Linked DNA regions of Schizosaccharomyces pombe. Each later gene encodes a partner of the first gene's protein in a complex. Each region holds a gene or a part of one and is shown on either strand. Other genes may lie near its edges. The genes, in order: ptr8, tfb4, tfb5 and tfb2.

What was found.
Region 2: ptr8 (region 1) and tfb4 share a complex: the UniProt entries of both Schizosaccharomyces pombe proteins name them as parts of the 7-subunit TFIIH core complex.
Region 3: ptr8 (region 1) and tfb5 share a complex: the UniProt entries of both Schizosaccharomyces pombe proteins name them as parts of the 7-subunit TFIIH core complex.
Region 4: ptr8 (region 1) and tfb2 share a complex: the UniProt entries of both Schizosaccharomyces pombe proteins name them as parts of the 7-subunit TFIIH core complex.

Annotation. Positions count from the first base shown.
Region 1 is NC_003424.3:1,759,614-1,764,857, reverse strand, and holds ptr8 (transcription factor TFIIH complex ERCC-3 subunit Ptr8), read right to left. Parts: upstream 3,312-5,244; 5' UTR 3,072-3,311; coding exon 657-3,071; 3' UTR 539-656; downstream 1-538. Other genes in the region: SUMO deconjugating cysteine peptidase Ulp2, read left to right, coding at 66-522; SPOM_SPAC17A5.19 (uncharacterized protein), read right to left, coding at 3,403-3,582, 3,627-3,725; SPOM_SPAC17A5.05C (uncharacterized protein), read left to right, coding at 4,487-5,230. UniProt on the Schizosaccharomyces pombe protein: Probable ATP-dependent 3'-5' DNA helicase/translocase. Binds dsDNA rather than ssDNA, unzipping it in a translocase rather than classical helicase activity. Component of the general transcription and DNA repair factor IIH (TFIIH) core complex.
Region 2 is NC_003423.3:1,318,506-1,322,078, forward strand, and holds tfb4 (transcription factor TFIIH complex subunit Tfb4), read right to left. Parts: upstream 2,072-3,573; 5' UTR 1,989-2,071; coding exon 1,178-1,988; intron 1,116-1,177; coding exon 1,033-1,115; 3' UTR 565-1,032; downstream 1-564. Other genes in the region: double-strand siRNA ribonuclease Eri1, read left to right, coding at 2,235-2,314, 2,392-2,499, 2,561-2,966, 3,029-3,328; ERMES complex subunit Mmm1, read right to left, coding at 3,447-3,537. UniProt on the Schizosaccharomyces pombe protein: Component of the general transcription and DNA repair factor IIH (TFIIH) core complex, which is involved in general and transcription-coupled nucleotide excision repair (NER) of damaged DNA and, when complexed to TFIIK, in RNA transcription by RNA polymerase II.
Region 3 is NC_003423.3:2,807,893-2,811,056, forward strand, and holds tfb5 (transcription factor TFIIH complex subunit Tfb5), read left to right. Parts: upstream 1-1,981; coding exon 1,982-2,188; 3' UTR 2,189-2,647; downstream 2,648-3,164. Other genes in the region: glyceraldehyde-3-phosphate dehydrogenase Tdh1, read left to right, coding at 1-755; SPOM_SPBC32F12.12C (golgi membrane protein involved in vesicle-mediated transport), read right to left, coding at 2,857-3,057. UniProt on the Schizosaccharomyces pombe protein: Component of the general transcription and DNA repair factor IIH (TFIIH) core complex, which is involved in general and transcription-coupled nucleotide excision repair (NER) of damaged DNA and, when complexed to TFIIK, in RNA transcription by RNA polymerase II.
Region 4 is NC_003423.3:3,751,950-3,756,223, forward strand, and holds tfb2 (transcription factor TFIIH complex subunit Tfb2), read left to right. Parts: upstream 1-1,950; 5' UTR 1,951-2,120; coding exon 2,121-2,443; intron 2,444-2,488; coding exon 2,489-3,509; 3' UTR 3,510-3,768; downstream 3,769-4,274. Other genes in the region: ESCRT III complex subunit Did2, read left to right, coding at 412-427, 468-487, 528-605, 808-954, 997-1,065, 1,121-1,192, 1,245-1,445; the13 (acyl-CoA thioesterase), read left to right, coding at 3,984-4,274. UniProt on the Schizosaccharomyces pombe protein: Component of the general transcription and DNA repair factor IIH (TFIIH) core complex, which is involved in general and transcription-coupled nucleotide excision repair (NER) of damaged DNA and, when complexed to TFIIK, in RNA transcription by RNA polymerase II.

The DNA.
Region 1 (5,244 bases):
TTTTATTGATTAAAAGGAAAAATATATCATAAATCATTTGATTCAGTTTACTAAGTTAATTATAGTCCAGCAATTTTGATTTTTGATTCTTTAGCAAATCTTCATAAAGGAGCATTAAATTACTTACGTGAATATTTACTGGAAGAAGCTTTCGAAAGGAAAAATGTACATCTTAAGTCCACTGATATACGGGGGTTTCATGCAAAAGTCCCGCAACAAAGCAATTTTTCTGATTGTGGTATATATGCGTTACATTTCGTCGAACTATTTCTTGAAACTCCTGAGCAAGTGATAGCCAATACTTTAGATAAATCTCTTAGACGGACGGATGCTAAAAACTTCGACCAACAGTGGAACCTTCAAAAGATTAACACGATGAGATGCGATTTGAAGGGTTTAATTCGCCGTCTGTCAACTGAGTGGTCGTCTAACAATGAACGACAATCGCTTAGCAGCGGAAGCAACGATGAAGAAGATAAAGAAAATGATGATGATTTGGCAATATTGCCAATCACAAATTAGAATTTACAAGGGAATTAGGGAAATCATAATTTCATATTAAAACTTAACGAAAGCATTATTATCAAAAATTTTAGCGTAGAAAAATCAACAAAATTCATGTCTATATCGTGTGTATGCTAGCATGTATAACTTCGCTAGCGACGTTTAGTATACAGGTGCTTCCGAAATAAGGCATGATGTTCTTTACTGTCCTTTTTCAGCTGTTTATTAGCACTCTTGTTATATTCCACGTATGCCATATTGTCGGCACCAGCCAATGTACTTAAAGAACCACTAGAACGTTTAGCTTTCGCCGGTGCTCTAGAGAGACTTCTGGATCCAAAGCTAGTATCCTCACCGTCATCCAAATCAGCTGCTTCTTCATTTTGTAGCAATACTTCCTGCAAAAGCTCAAGTCTCTCCGCTTTGGAGGCGTAAGCCAAATTTGGCAAGTTCTCCATACCCTTTAAATTAGTGATGACTTTAAAAGCATAGCCTTGGTCAATTAAAAATGCTTGCCGTTTACTGGAATAATACATTTCCTGAGTGTCTTTAGATACCAAGCTATAGAAAAATGCGTTAAAGCCTTCATCATTTCGTCGCTTGGCACGAAGAATACGCCCCAAACGTTGAGCTTCTTGACGCCTAGAACCATAATGAGAAGAAATCTGAATCAAACAGGTTGCTTCAGGAAGATCAATAGACGTATCACCAACTTTAGAAAGGAAAATGGTATTTACAAGTTCATTATACTGGAAATTTTCCAAAATCCTCATTCTTTCCTGCTGTGGAGTTCCACCATAAATAAAATATTTGCCTAATTTTATTGCATAAGCACGCAAAGCATAGACATTGTCTGAAAAAACGATAATTTTATCACCACGTTTTTCGTGATAATCGATGAGGAATTGACAAGCCTGAAATTTTTTAGGATTCATGATATAAAGTAGCATTCTTTTTCGGGAGTTTTCTCGAAGATATTCATTATAAAACTCAGTGGTCATCGCGCACCAAACTTCGGCGCATTGAACCTTAGCGATGTGACCTTTTTGTGCCAAATCCATCCAATTTGCTTCGTACATTTTAGGCCCAATCAAAAAATTTAAATCATCAATTTTATCATCCTCACGAACTAACGTAGCAGTTAACCCAAGCTTTGTGTGAGCGGCAATTGTGGTGACAACTCGCCGAAACATGGCAGCAGGAACCACATGTACTTCGTCTAATAGGATAAACCCCCATTCACGTCCCGTAAGAAAATCCATCATTTTTTGAGAATCATAGGATCTATTCCTGGTATTGGCAACCATTGAGTACGTGGAGACAACCACACCTGCTTCGCTGTGAAACCGTTCTTTGTGATCAGCAGTAAAAACCGCAATGTGATCAGGCTTGATGTTGCTCCACTGTAAAAATTGTTGACGCCATTGCATTACCGAAACAGAACTGGTGCAAAGCACGATTACTGATTTTTTGATAGTACAAGCCGCTGTGATACCAACCAAGGTTTTACCAGCTCCACATGGTAATACAATAATTCCACTTCGAGCTCTACCATTTCCAAACATTTTACTAAGACTCTTTTCTTGGTATGGACGAATTTGAGTGCTTGGCTTAAGGTCTATAGGAAGATCTGGATTGATGTTGTCATTACGAAAATCGTACTCTTCCAATAAGGGATAATCAATCTCTGCACATCTCTTCTTGATAGTTTCCACTGAAGAGTGCTTAATTTCGAAAAGATGAACGGCATCTTCATCATCTTCCTCTTCCTGTAAGCCTACTACTGCCGAAAACAGTTCATCAGATGAACTTTTCTCAGCAGTTTCTTTTGAGGAATCATTGGTGATATCTTTTTTGTCTTCCACATTATCTTCATTGGAAGGCTTTGAAGACTTCTGCTTGCTAGACTGGGTAGAATAATCGATTCGAAGAGGGCCTATGACAGGATCTCTTAATAACAGTCGTAAAACACTTGCATCTCCACTTTCAATAAAATATCTGTTTTTCTTCAAGACCAGTTTGACCTTACCGTAAGAGACAGTACAAGCGCGGATAAAGTCTACGATAGAAGGAGGAATTGGGGTTTTTGAAAGTCTATCAAGGACTGCTATTATATCTTCAGTTTTTAACCCAACGCTAACAGCAGCATAAAGTGAATATGCAGTAATTCTATACTCATGAATGAAAGCGGGTCGAGAAACTGGCTCTGAAATTGTTACCAAGAAGTCGATAGCTTGCTCAGCCAATGGGCTGAATGCTTCAAGGATAATTCTACCATCAATTGGATTAATCCAAAGTGGCCTAGCCGTATGATCCAATTTTAAACCTAGTAAATTAGAAAAATCGTTTTGGCCAAACATAGCAGAAATCCCAGATTGGCGGGCTTCATTGCTATTAGTCGTGGTTTGTGCTTTAGTTTTATTGTTGTTTATACGAATCCTGGGTGCAGGCTTGTAAGAATCATCATCCTCTTCACCGTAATTGTCAACATCGCTGTAATCGCTATATTCTTCTAAATCCTCGTCAGGTGTCCCTTCCCTTGCATTATTTTTTCTCTTTAGGCTCATTATTTAATATGAAATGTTTATAAATAGCTAATGACTCAAACTCTTTGAAAATGAGTTGCCGTATGGCAATAATAATTTGCAGCAGTAAACGACAAACCAAGATGCGAGGCCAATCAAAAGAAATTTAAAGCAACAACTCTCAACTGATTATTAAGTTTCGTAACTTTTCAGCTGTCACTTTTAAATTTATAAGCACAAAAGAAAAGGAGGTTCTCCTGTGGGTGTGTGTGTGTTAATGGCAAATCACTAGTAAGATGAAGCGATTGTTAGTACCACCAAAATACTATCATTTTAATCGAAAAATATAATAAATCTAAATTTTATCTTGGGATTAATCACTTTTGCTAGGTAATAAGGGTGAAGAGGCAGAGTACCCTGGTGCAATTCGTTTAAGCTTTTCAAGACGCTCTACTTCAAGATTTTTTTTCCAGTTTTGATAATTTTCTGTTAATTCTTCATCTGTGGGTAATTTGGTTGACATAACATCTACATCTTCAAGATTTATTCGAGGCTAAAATAGCTTGATTAGTATATAAATTGGCATCCCAAACATACAATTGTATTTACGCCATTCTGTAATAGATTAATTGACTCCTCTGGGAAGGGAGGTATTTCAGGTATTAGATTTTTATTCGGTATTCGACGAAGCGACATTATTAAGTAAGAAAGGTCTTATAGGCAAAGGTTAGGTGTATACCAGTGCTAACATTAGCATGCGCAATGGATTCGTAAACTTGATTCTTTAATTCGAATGAACATCTACTTTATGATACGAAACTCATTTGAAATTTTCACTGTTAAACAATCATTTCGTCAACAAACGTGTTTACAATAACCTTATTGTTAAGATGTATCAATAAATCATAACTGAAACCAAAAAACTAACGAAAGATACATACAATGCACAAACTAAATAAAAAATTATTTATTTGTGATTTGTATGCTTATGCTGTCGTGAATCGAGATTTGTTTTAGTCAAATTTTCATGTTAGTTGAATTTATCCGGTTTGTACTAAGTTCAGTATACCTACTACATAAGAAATCTCATCTTTCGTTCATTTCATTGACATATCTCCTTTTATTTTATATCATTTCTATTTCTACGACTTTACTTATAAAACTTAAAGTAGTAAGGACGGTGGAATATCGAGAACAAGTCGTTTGTGCGAATTCGTGATGCATATTGAATAAACTCGGTTAACTCACCATTTTCTTGTCAAATTGGGTATCTTGATAAATTATATTTAAATTTTTTTTTTGCTTTTTGCATCGTCGCGTGAAAAAACAAAAAAAAAGAAAAACGAATACCAAATTTAGAATTTGCAGTTAATTAATTCAAAATAATTTATTACTTTATTAACACTGTGAGAGATTTGACATCTGGAATACATTATTTCTTTACCCCATAATTAAAAATGAGTTGGCGTCCTACTCATTCAGTCAGAAATGCTCCTTACTCAATGAGAGATAACTATGCGCAAGGCGTAGATGTTTATTACAAAAAGGTAGGAGGGACTTATCGAAATTTGCATTTTCGGGGATTACGACTTTTGCTATTGCAGTGCTTAAGTCATTTTTGGGATCATGATGAAAAGTTTAAAAGTCACGGATTGCATGTTATAGATTTGGCATGTGGAAGTGGGGAAGTTTCAGAAACAGTTATAGAATGGGAGCATTTAGGGAGGGAACTGGGTATACATGGAGGAGCTTTTAAAGTCCGTAAAGAAATTTCTATACGTTCTATTCCACCAGAATTACCTCCTTTTGAGCTTATAGCTACGGACCCATTTACTTTAGAAGCCTACACAAATCGCATTGGTAAGCCATGCTTAACGCTAAACTTTCAGGATATTGCTGATGAAAAACTACCTCCAAGTAGCGCTGAAGATGGCATATATGACCTTGTAATATGTTCTTTTGCTCTTCATTTACTTACAGAACCATCTAAACTATTCTCTACTTGTTATGCCTTATCTGTTCAATGTCGCTGGCTTTTAGTCTTGGGTCCTCACAAAAAACCTGAATTGAAACCTGAATGGGGTTGGGATGCTTGGAATATAGACACCTGGTGTCCTTTGGGGTATGGTATCTCTCATGATTATGTCTTAGAAAGGGTGCATGCTCGATTTTTTAAAAGCCGAAATTTAATTGACGGTTAAATCTGATGAGTTTC
Region 2 (3,573 bases), on another chromosome or scaffold:
GCTGAAATAAAACGCTATATAGTCGGGAAAGAGCTGTTAAAAAGCACAGTCAATCAAAAATTCTAAAATTAGTGGAAAATAGACATTCAGGATGTCAGAAGTTTGTAATTGAATCTATCAACAGATTAGGCAATGGTTGTAATGCTCCTAAGGTTAATCAGACTAATTTACGTCTGAAATCTGAAGATTTAGAACAAATATATTACAACCTTTTTATTATTTTTCCTTTTTTAAAAACTATGAATATCTGATTGCAGAATAAACGAATTTAAGAAAATACTTTTTTTTTTTCAAGCTTGTCGTCACTTGTGAGTTTGAGAATATTCGGGCAAATAAAAGTAAACCGGCTCTATTAGTATGAATTATCAATCCGCGCTTTTATTGCTCAGTACAGAAATTCAGAGGTTGAGTTACATGTAAAAACCAAGATTCGTAACCTTACTACAATAATCAAACCAATTCATTATAAATTGCATTCATATAGATCTCAATGTAATATAACTTTTCTGATTAAAAAAGCTTAAAAAAAGCCATTGTTAAAATGATCAAGCACCAACATTAGAGATGCAATAGATTATAAACAGTAGAAAGGAAAGTTCCTGTGAAATAATTTCTGTCAGCATCTTCAACATTAATGATTCGTTAGTAAATTAATTAAAGAATAGTATATAATTTCGTCTTACTGCACTGTTTGGAAAAGAAAGAAGCCAATGCAACTTGAAGAAATAATAGAAGAAGCTCTAAGGAAATAAATAATAATAGGGTACGTTGGAATGAATTAGTTGCTTATACGTTAAGTTTCTACTTGTGGATGCCCCTTAAGGAAATAGTTTGATCCTTCCGAAAAATGTTAACATTTCAAGTGTATCAAAATGCCAGAAAGTAAAAATCGCCAAAAAAAAAGAGCTAGACTGTACAAATCACCAGGATAAGGAGATTTAGGTAATGAAAAACAGGGTTTCAAATATGATAAAGCTGTACACCCGGTGTGAGACAAAGAAATATATAGTTTAATAATAATATAACGAATTATCAAGTGTGCAATTTTTTTGACATAGGTTCTACCGTGAATTTGGTATGACAAGTAGAACAATGCACCCGTGGTTCACAAAATACTAAAGAGGTTAGCAAAAGGTCAAATGTTCAAAGCCTATCGTAAAGCTTTGTTACTACTTACTTGATAGACAAACTGAGCAAACAAAGCCAATATCCAAAACCTTTTTGTGGCAAAAACATGTAGCTCGAAAATCAACATTCGCTTGGTTTGGGGTATTTAAGTGTTTTCGAAGATTTTGATCCGGAAAAAGCGACATCATGAGATATTGTAGTAAGCCTTTGGGGTTGTCAACTTTTAAGTAAATCCCTCCTGTGGCATCTGCTGCTTGTTCTAAAAACAGGGTGCCTCCCTCAATGTTGCAAACGTTAATTGGAATATTTTTCTTTTGAGCACAAAATATACAATTCATAGTAGGAATATACTGAAGAGCAACATCACCAGTTAATGAGAAAATTAGAATTCGAGAACGAAGAGTATTTTTATTTTGAACTTGATTGATATATGCAAGGGCTCTAGATAGTGCTCCGGAAATCATCGTTTTTCTTGAAACTTTATCAGTCGAACTCATGAGTCGCTTCATCCCAGATAAAACTAAGTCGTCTACCTCACGAAACTTTCGATACGTATTTGCCTCCTTGGTAGGATCTACTTCTGCGACTTTTTGCTCAGGTGCAATCGAAGGGTATAGGTATTCAACCTTGTCCGAGTGTGAAGCTAACACAGCAACTCTATTATCATGATGAAAAGCTAAGTGTGCGTTTAGAAAAACCGTAATATCTGCCAGTACCTTGGAAACAGGCACTTTTTTGGAAAGGGAGTACCATGAGGCAGGATTTGCGTCTAATATAACTACAAGCAAACTGGGTGTATCATTTGCGTCTTCAGATATATCCCACGAGGCATTTTGTTTCAAAGTTTGAAATTCATCCATCCCTCTTTTTATAATGTGTTTTTTCTCAATGCTTTCCCAACTTTAATACAGGTAGACAACAACCCAGAAAAAGTGTAGGGTTCAAAAAAAGATTGCCAACAAAACAGTGTTATTTCAAAAACATTTATATTCCATTATAATGAAATGGTTTATCTAATGAAATAAAAGGTAAAGTAATTCCAAAAATATAAAAAATTTATGGAGTCGCCAGTGCAGATTTTAGTTTGGCCTTTTCCATGTGACGAGATGAACCAAAAAACACCGTCTACGGTAGAAGAAATTCGTATAGCACTACAAGAACTTGGGTTGAGTACGAATGGAAACAAGTATGTTACTGAAATTGAGAAGCAATTAGTCCGTTTTCTCAGAGTTTATATAAATTAATTATTTACACAGTATAAAGAGAAAAACTGAAACGGCGATGGAAATTTCGTGAAAAACGTCTTGAAGAAAAACGAAAACAAGAACGTTATCAAAAGTTTTCTACTAGTAATGAAAACAAAACTTGTTTGTAGGGTTAAATCATCAATTGTTTAAACATTTTCTATCTAACAGTAACTGAATACTTGTAGACGATACTTGCTAATTGTGGACGTCGAAGCTACATGTGAAGAAGGTTGCGGATTTAGCTTCGAAAACGAGATCATAGAATTACCATGTCTTCTATTCGATTTAATAGAAAAATCCATAATCGACGAATTTCATTCTTACGTTCGCCCATCCATGAATCCTACTTTGTCTGACTATTGTAAATCACTGACAGGAATTCAACAATGCACTGTTGATAAAGCGCCTATCTTCTCAGATGTCTTGGAAGAACTATTCATATTCTTGCGGAAACATTCCAATATTTTAGTTCCCTCAGTTGATGAAATTGAGATTATAGAACCCTTAAAGTCCGTACCCAGAACACAGCCCAAAAATTGGGCCTGGGCTTGTGATGGTCCTTGGGATATGGCGTCCTTTTTAGCCAAACAAGTAAGTGTTAATATAATTTTGTTCGGTTTGTCTCACATTTCGCTAACAAATCGTATTATCAGTTCAAATATGATAAAATGCCAATTCCTGACTGGATCAAAGGACCATTCGTAGATATTAGGTCTTTCTATAAAGACGTTTATCGCGTTCCACGCACAAATATTAATGGAATGCTAGAGCATTGGGGTCTTCAGTTTGAGGGAAGCGAGCATCGCGGAATAGATGATGCGAGGAATTTATCACGAATTGTTAAAAAAATGTGTTCGGAAAACGTAGAATTCGAATGCAATAGGTGGTGGATGGAATATGAGAAGAACGGCTGGATTCCGAATCGAAGTTACCCGCCATATTTCGCAAGCTAATGCTTAAAATTTTTATTTCGACTTCATAATCAATATATTTCGTGGAATCTGGTAGAGATAAATTATCGTTAAAATTCATAGATAAAAAAAATTTCCGAAAATTACGTCAAAAGAATGTTTAATCTTCATTAGATGACTCCTCTTGAGGTGCATGGGACCTCGCATGTCCTTCTTTTGCAGAGGTTGGCCATAGGTTGGGAATTGCGATCCTGTGGGAATTAGTTAGTATGAATCAATTCATACTC
Region 3 (3,164 bases), on another chromosome or scaffold:
AGTGGTCTACCTCTGGTGCTGACTACGTTATCGAGTCCACCGGTGTCTTCACCACTCAAGAGACTGCCTCTGCTCACTTGAAGGGTGGTGCCAAGCGTGTCATCATCTCTGCTCCTTCCAAGGACGCCCCCATGTACGTTGTCGGTGTCAACGAGGAGAAGTTCAACCCCTCTGAGAAGGTTATCTCCAACGCTTCTTGCACCACCAACTGTTTGGCTCCCCTTGCCAAGGTCATCAACGACACCTTCGGTATCGAGGAGGGTCTCATGACCACTGTCCACGCTACCACTGCCACCCAAAAGACCGTTGACGGTCCCTCCAAGAAGGACTGGCGTGGTGGTCGTGGCGCCAGCGCCAACATCATCCCCTCCTCCACTGGTGCCGCCAAGGCCGTCGGTAAGGTTATTCCCGCTCTTAACGGTAAGCTTACCGGTATGGCTTTCCGTGTCCCTACCCCCGATGTTTCCGTTGTTGACTTGACCGTCAAGTTGGCCAAGCCTACCAACTACGAGGACATCAAGGCCGCCATCAAGGCTGCCTCTGAGGGCCCCATGAAGGGTGTGTTGGGTTACACCGAGGACGCTGTTGTCTCCACTGACTTCTGCGGTGACAACCACTCCTCCATCTTCGATGCCTCTGCCGGTATCCAACTTTCTCCTCAATTCGTCAAGCTCGTCTCTTGGTACGATAACGAATGGGGTTACTCCCGCCGTGTCGTTGACTTGGTTGCCTACACTGCCGCCAAGGACAACTAACTAGCTAATCATCCCGATGCTAAGAAACGTCGGGTGGGTGCTTAAAGGCAATGCAGGAAAGTCTTTTGGAGTTGTTTTCCCCGTTTTTTCTTTATGTTAGACAAAGGAGTCGTTGTCGTTTGCAGTGCGGGAGTTTTCTTTTTTAGATTTTCGCATTTTTTTTGTGGACGCGCACTCTATGTGAATAAATAGATGGATGACTTTTTTACAAATTTCCTCTGTTCTTTGATACCCTCCTTCTCATTCATTGTTGCATATATTTTTTTTAATTTTGTTGCAGTGATGAGATGGCTGAGCGTTTGTTTTTGAACTTATAAATACTTATAAATAAATTTTATGATTTTGATAAATACTTTTTTTCGTTTTGGTTTGTGATACGTATAGTTTGCCTGTCTCCTTTTGTAAATGATCTTCTTTTGTAGTCTTGTGTAATCTCTTTTTCATTTGGTCAACTTAAGTGAATTTTTTTTTGTCAGTTTCCTTGTAGGATATTATGTCAAAGTCTTATTTATACTATATATTATTGCTTTGGTGGTGAGTCGCATTTGTGGGGACGGTGTTACTTTACTGATGGATTTAGGTAGGAGGCATCCACTGTCCCCCATTTCGCTAGCTTAAGTTTAATATGAAGATGCACTTAAGCATGAACGCCCGTTTTGATCTTTTTCACTTGTACCGCGAAGAGCTTGTTTTACTGTTTTTCCGTCTGCATCCCGAGAACTAGTTGATCTCCCAATGCACACTTTAGACTTTATTCAAACCGAAGTCGGTTTTGTAATTTAAAAATTTTTACCCACTGTAAAGTACAAACAATTCATCGCTATGTTAGTTGTGTACGCTACTAGCGCATCACATGATTACATGTTAATCAACAAAAACGAAAATGTTTATTGTCAATCTAAAAATACATATGTCCGTTAAGACAAAAGTATGAGGCTGGATGGAATGAGCAATGGTAGCAAAAGGTTTCCGAAATGGTCATATCATTTTTTCAATTTTTGCTGATCTCAAATACCTCAACTTGTTTTATTCATATAAATAATTTGTTTTTGCATATAATCATAATAATCAAATTCATTACCATCTTTAACACAACAAACTTGCATGATATTTATTCTTGTTTGCTCTTACATTCGGCATCCAACGATCATGGGTAACTTGATACCTGTGGCTTAAGGAGCTTGTAGCATGCCATGATTCTGCTGGCAGACACCAAATTTGAGGCAATGCCACGCGCACAAAAAGGCTTACTCTTGGTTGAATGTGACCCAACCGTTAAGCAATTGATTTTGAACATGGACGAACAGTCTCCTGGTATCGTTATCGAAGAGATCGATGAAGAACGATTGTTAGTAAATGAAAGTCGACTAGAACAGGTGAAAGCAGAGTTAGAACGACGCCTTGAGGAAAATACATATCAAGTTGAAGAGTAAGAAGAGATTAGTATGACGAAAGTTTTCTTTGGATGATGAACTGAATGTTTCAGTCGATGGACGAACCTAATATTGTACGATTAATGGATCATTCAATGTCAACGATCTATGATCATTTTCTCAATTTTAAATTGTAAAAAAATTTTAAAATAATGCAAAAAAGAAATTAATTCTACCTTTTATTTGGATATGGGTGAAAAGGTTGGTTTATTTTTTAATGACTTGACGTTTGTGTCAAATTACATAACAGTACCCAAAACTCGTGTACCGATGGGCAAAAATTATGAAAGGAGCCAGCTGATTTTGTATTTTTTGAAAATAAGTTTTGAATATATTGTTAACTACGCCGAGCTATTCAGTAGTTGCTTGCAAGTCTTTATTTAATTTTTAGTATTGAATGAAAGTTTATACTATTTGAATATACTATACTATCTATATAATTAATATGTATAATAAGAGAAATGTTCTTCTTTGTCTAACGATATTTTTATGCATTCCTAATTGAAACTTGGTGGTGTTTCTAGAAAGATAGTTCAGTTCATACGCGTGATAACTTTTTCAACACCGGGAACTGGAAGAACATACAACAAGGAAAAGGCATAGTTTCATGCTTGTCCTATAAACAAATGAACAAGGAAAAAGATCAATAAAGATCAATTTTGCATATTCTAAACCATAGTGCTGGGAGGTGTTTCGGTCGTGATACCTGTTCCACCAAGCGTGGAACTTGAAGTAAAAGCCTGACCTTTAATACCGGCAAAGGTGTAACATAAACCAGTAAGAGCGAGCACAATGCCGGTGGCAATAAGACTAGTAGCCATAAAGATGCAACTGAGAAAGGTTACCACGGAAAATATAAAATAGACAAGCTAAAAGAGTTAATAAACACTGTATGTAAAAGACAGCAGGAAGGCAACAAAGGAATTAAAAATATCCAGAGGCATGCTTTTTCCCCTGTGTGCCTTTCTTAAAAGAA
Region 4 (4,274 bases), on another chromosome or scaffold:
AATTAACAAAATTGTCTAGAAGTTGGAAAAATATTAAGCAAACTAAGTTAAACTTCCTCATGTGTTATCAATCCATTTTTATGCTGACAGATCGTCTTCTACAAAAAAACTGGCAACAATAAACTGGGAGGTTATTGAATTTTTAAACATCGAGCCACTAATTATTTATCTTTTGAAAGTCTTATTTTTTATAATCTGCTAATTATATTCTTTTGTTTATGGTGTTTACGCTATCATAAACTAAGATACTGTCAATTTTAGACCCCACTATCTTCCTTAGTGAAGTTGTTTAATTTTGTTAAAATGCATTACGAGTAATGTATTAAGAAGTTCTAAAAATCATCAGCCTTACTAGCAGACGCTCAATCAATAGAATTAGCATTATACAGCTAGCTTACCTTTACAAACAAAATGAGCAATTTAGAGGGTAAGTAAGTAATTTTTTTGATAATTGATTAACCTGAAAGCATCTCTGTTTCAATTAAAGGTATTTTCTTAATTGAAGTTTGTTTTTAACAATGCGTTAGTTTGCTGCAAAGTCGCTGAATAAACAATCACTTAAAGCTGCGAAAGAGGAGCGTGCTGAACGGGAAAAAGTGAAAAAGGTTTGTTTGTTGTAATGATTGCTATTTCCAAGCATGTCACTATCAATGAATTTTTTTACAGCTCATCTATCAATTGCTATTGTAATTCTTGGTGGTTTTGCAGAGTCTTGGTTTTGTCGATTATTCCATCTTCATATGATTTGCTAGATAAAAATTTTTTTTTACTTTTTGGCGTTATTCATTACTAACTGTTATTACCTAGGCTATCACAAAAGGCAACTCAGAAATTGCCCGCATATATGCATCGAATGCAATTCGGAAGCAGCAAGAATCCCTTAATTTGCTCAAACTTTCTTCAAGAATAGATGCGGTTTCAAGTCGTTTACAGACTGCTGTAACTATGCGTGCTGTATGTTAGCAATTTAACGTGGCATACTTATTGACTATTTAGGTGTCGGGAAATATGGCAGGTGTCGTTCGGGGAATGGACAGAGCTATGAAAACAATGAATTTGGAGATGGTGAGTTCCTAATTCTCGTAGAATGAGTTTTTTTTCAAATGTTTCTGACCCACAGATTTCACAAGTCATGGATAAATTTGAAGCGCAATTCGATGATGTTAATGTTCAAACGGGTTATATGAATAAGGTAAGTTTCCTTGATTAATCATATTTCAAGACTAGAACTAACACTATATAAGGCTATGGGATCAGTGACTGCTGTCGATACACCCCAAGAAGATGTAGATTTATTAATGCAAACGGTAGCTGATGAAGCTGGTTTGGAATTTAACCAGAATATGAACAATAATCTTTCGGTTCCTGCTGCCAGTGTTCCTACTCCCGCCGCTCCTGTAGAAGATGACAACTTACAAGAACGTTTACGTGCTTTAAGGTCTTGATGTATAATTCCAGTCCAAATAACAAAATTTTTTTGCTGCATAAATGAAAGAGTTTAATTACGCACAATTTATTCAGCTGATACGGAAGAAGTTAATTAGATGATTAAGGATTTATATGTTTTTCACTGATATTTGAAAAACAAATTATTTTTCTCTCGAGGGTCATTTATCCCGCGGTTTATTTCAACCAAGCATGCATCTCTAATGGTCTAAATAAGTAATAGTACAGTAAATATTTAACGTAACTGTAAATATTCAGAACATTTAAAACAAATCTTTTTTTTTTTAAAACTGACTTTATTTAAAACTTAAGTATGAATGATTGTTTATATGTTTTTATCTAATCACGACAATTCGCAACTTGGGCATAAAAGTTTGAATTGTAATAAATATGTACACAGGTTAATGTAATTATCAGCAAAAAAAAATTGTTATTGTCATTGTCGGAAGCTTTGGCTTGTTATTCTAGCCTATTTAATACCAGTAATTCGACTCGCTCTTGATCACCATCCACCTTCGGTCTCGCGATGATTGCTTATCTGGCATTTATGGAAGATTGATAATCGTAAATAAGTTTATTAGTTGAGTACACTGGATTTTGTTCTATTCAGCTGAATAAAGAGAGATTACAACCGCCAATTTAAACCTTTTGAAGTAGGTTCGCAAATTGTCACCATGCAAGCAGAATTCAAGTCTAGTATCAACGACTTCCTGGAACAGTTACCAAATCATGCAAGGCTTTACCAAAAGCCAGCTGCTTGTCTTGCTGTGTTTCGTTTATTGCCAATTCTAGCTAGACAGTATGTCATGTCTATGCTTTTCAATCCTATGCCAGTAGCACTCTCAGATTTCGATTTATGGATCAAACTTTCGAGTAAAGTTTATCAATCTGAATCCTTCAACAAACTGGTTAGGATGCATATATTTCAATTTGATGGACAATATATCACTCTAAATAGTGAATTTCGCAAACAATTTATAACTGCTCTGACTGGAGGGTAAGTTTTATTGAATTTTGAGTATAAACTAATTAAGCTTTTTAGAGGAAATCACAATTCGTTTGGCGTGCCATGTACCGATGAAGACAAGCACTTGGTGACGGTTGATTTTCTTGACGCATATGCGAAAGAAACTTGGGAAACAATCTTGCACTTCATGGTAGGAACTCCGGAAGCTAAATTTCCTGGAGAAGGTGTCTTAAGTCTATTAAAGCGGGGCGGTTTAATGTCTGGTCCAAAAAACCAGCTACGTATTACCCGTGCCGGTTTTCAGTTTCTGTTACAGGATATAAATGCTCAAATTTGGACGTTACTTTTGGATTATTTAAAACTATCTGAAGACACGCATATGGATCCTGTTCAGGTTTTGCACTTTTTATTTATGCTTGGAAGTTTGGATTTGGGGAGGGCATACTCAGTGGACTTCTTAACAGATACACAACAAATCATGCTTGAAGACCTAAGAGAATATGGATTAGTTTATCAAAGAAAAATTACTTCCAAGCGTTTCTATCCAACCAGACTGGCAACAGGTCTGACAACTGATTATCGCTCATTGCATGGAAAGCAAAGTGAAAATGATGATGATAAAGGTTTTATTATTGTAGAAACAAATTACCGATTATATGCTTACACAAGCTCCCCATTACAGATTGCCATCATCGGATTGTTTGCTAACTTAAGGGCGCGTTTTTCAAATCTTGTTGTCGGTGTGATAACTCGGGATAGTATTCGTCGTGCTTTGATGAATGGAATTGCAGCGGAGCAAATTATTACATACTTGACAACTCATGCTCACCCTCAGATGAGATCGAATGTTCCTCTTTTACCTCCTACATTAGTAGATCAAATTTATTTATGGGAATTGGAAAAAAATAGACTTCGGGCTACTCCTGGAATTTTGTTTCGCGATTTTCTTACTGATTCTGGCTTCGACCAAGCAGTAGAGTACGCAAAAGAACTCGGGGTTTTGGTTTGGGACAGTTCCTTGAAAAGAATGTTTTTCATAACTACGACAGGCGCCCAGCCCATGATCGCATACTTGAAAAGACGAGCTGTCAAATGAATATTTTTTGGATGGTTCAAAAGAGAAGTGGTAATTAGAAAATATTAAATTAATCTCAAATCACTTGTAAGTAATTTACTGGTGTCAATAAACATATATATAACATAAGCTCAACATTAGCCATGTTAACTATACGCGTGTTGGATATTTATACGAAATTCAAGTTTTAATGATGCAACTCTTTAACGTTCAAATTATGAATTTCTTCTTCTCGTCATTAGAAAAAAAAAATATCCGTTATTTGAATAATCCAAACAATATTCATATTCTTGTATTTAATGTTCATTTAATTATATTACCATTTGTAATAATGATTTGGTGATATTACTATAGGCAGGCAAATGGCTTGTAAATCCTTACTAACTACAAGTATCGCTGCTGCGAGTAGCCAAGAACTGCCACAACATAACCAATTCACCTGAGGTACTTACTTTTACAGTGATTGATACCTGTTAAACGAAGTTTTAAGACACAATGGCAATTAATAGCTCTGGTACTAAGGTGCTTTCTTTCGTTCGTTCTGTTTGGCAGGATTTTGTAAATACCAATGGGTTTGATGCTCATGTAGTCAGTGATATACAAATTATAAGTGCAGTTCCAGGATTTGTAGAATGCTCTCTGAAACTGCAGAAGCATCACCTAAATCGTATGGGTAATTTGCATGGCGGTTGTATTGCAGCACTCACTGATTTGGGAGGAAGTTTAGCATTGGCCAGTCGAGGGCTTTTTATTTCTGGCGTGTCAATAGATATGAATCAAACTTTT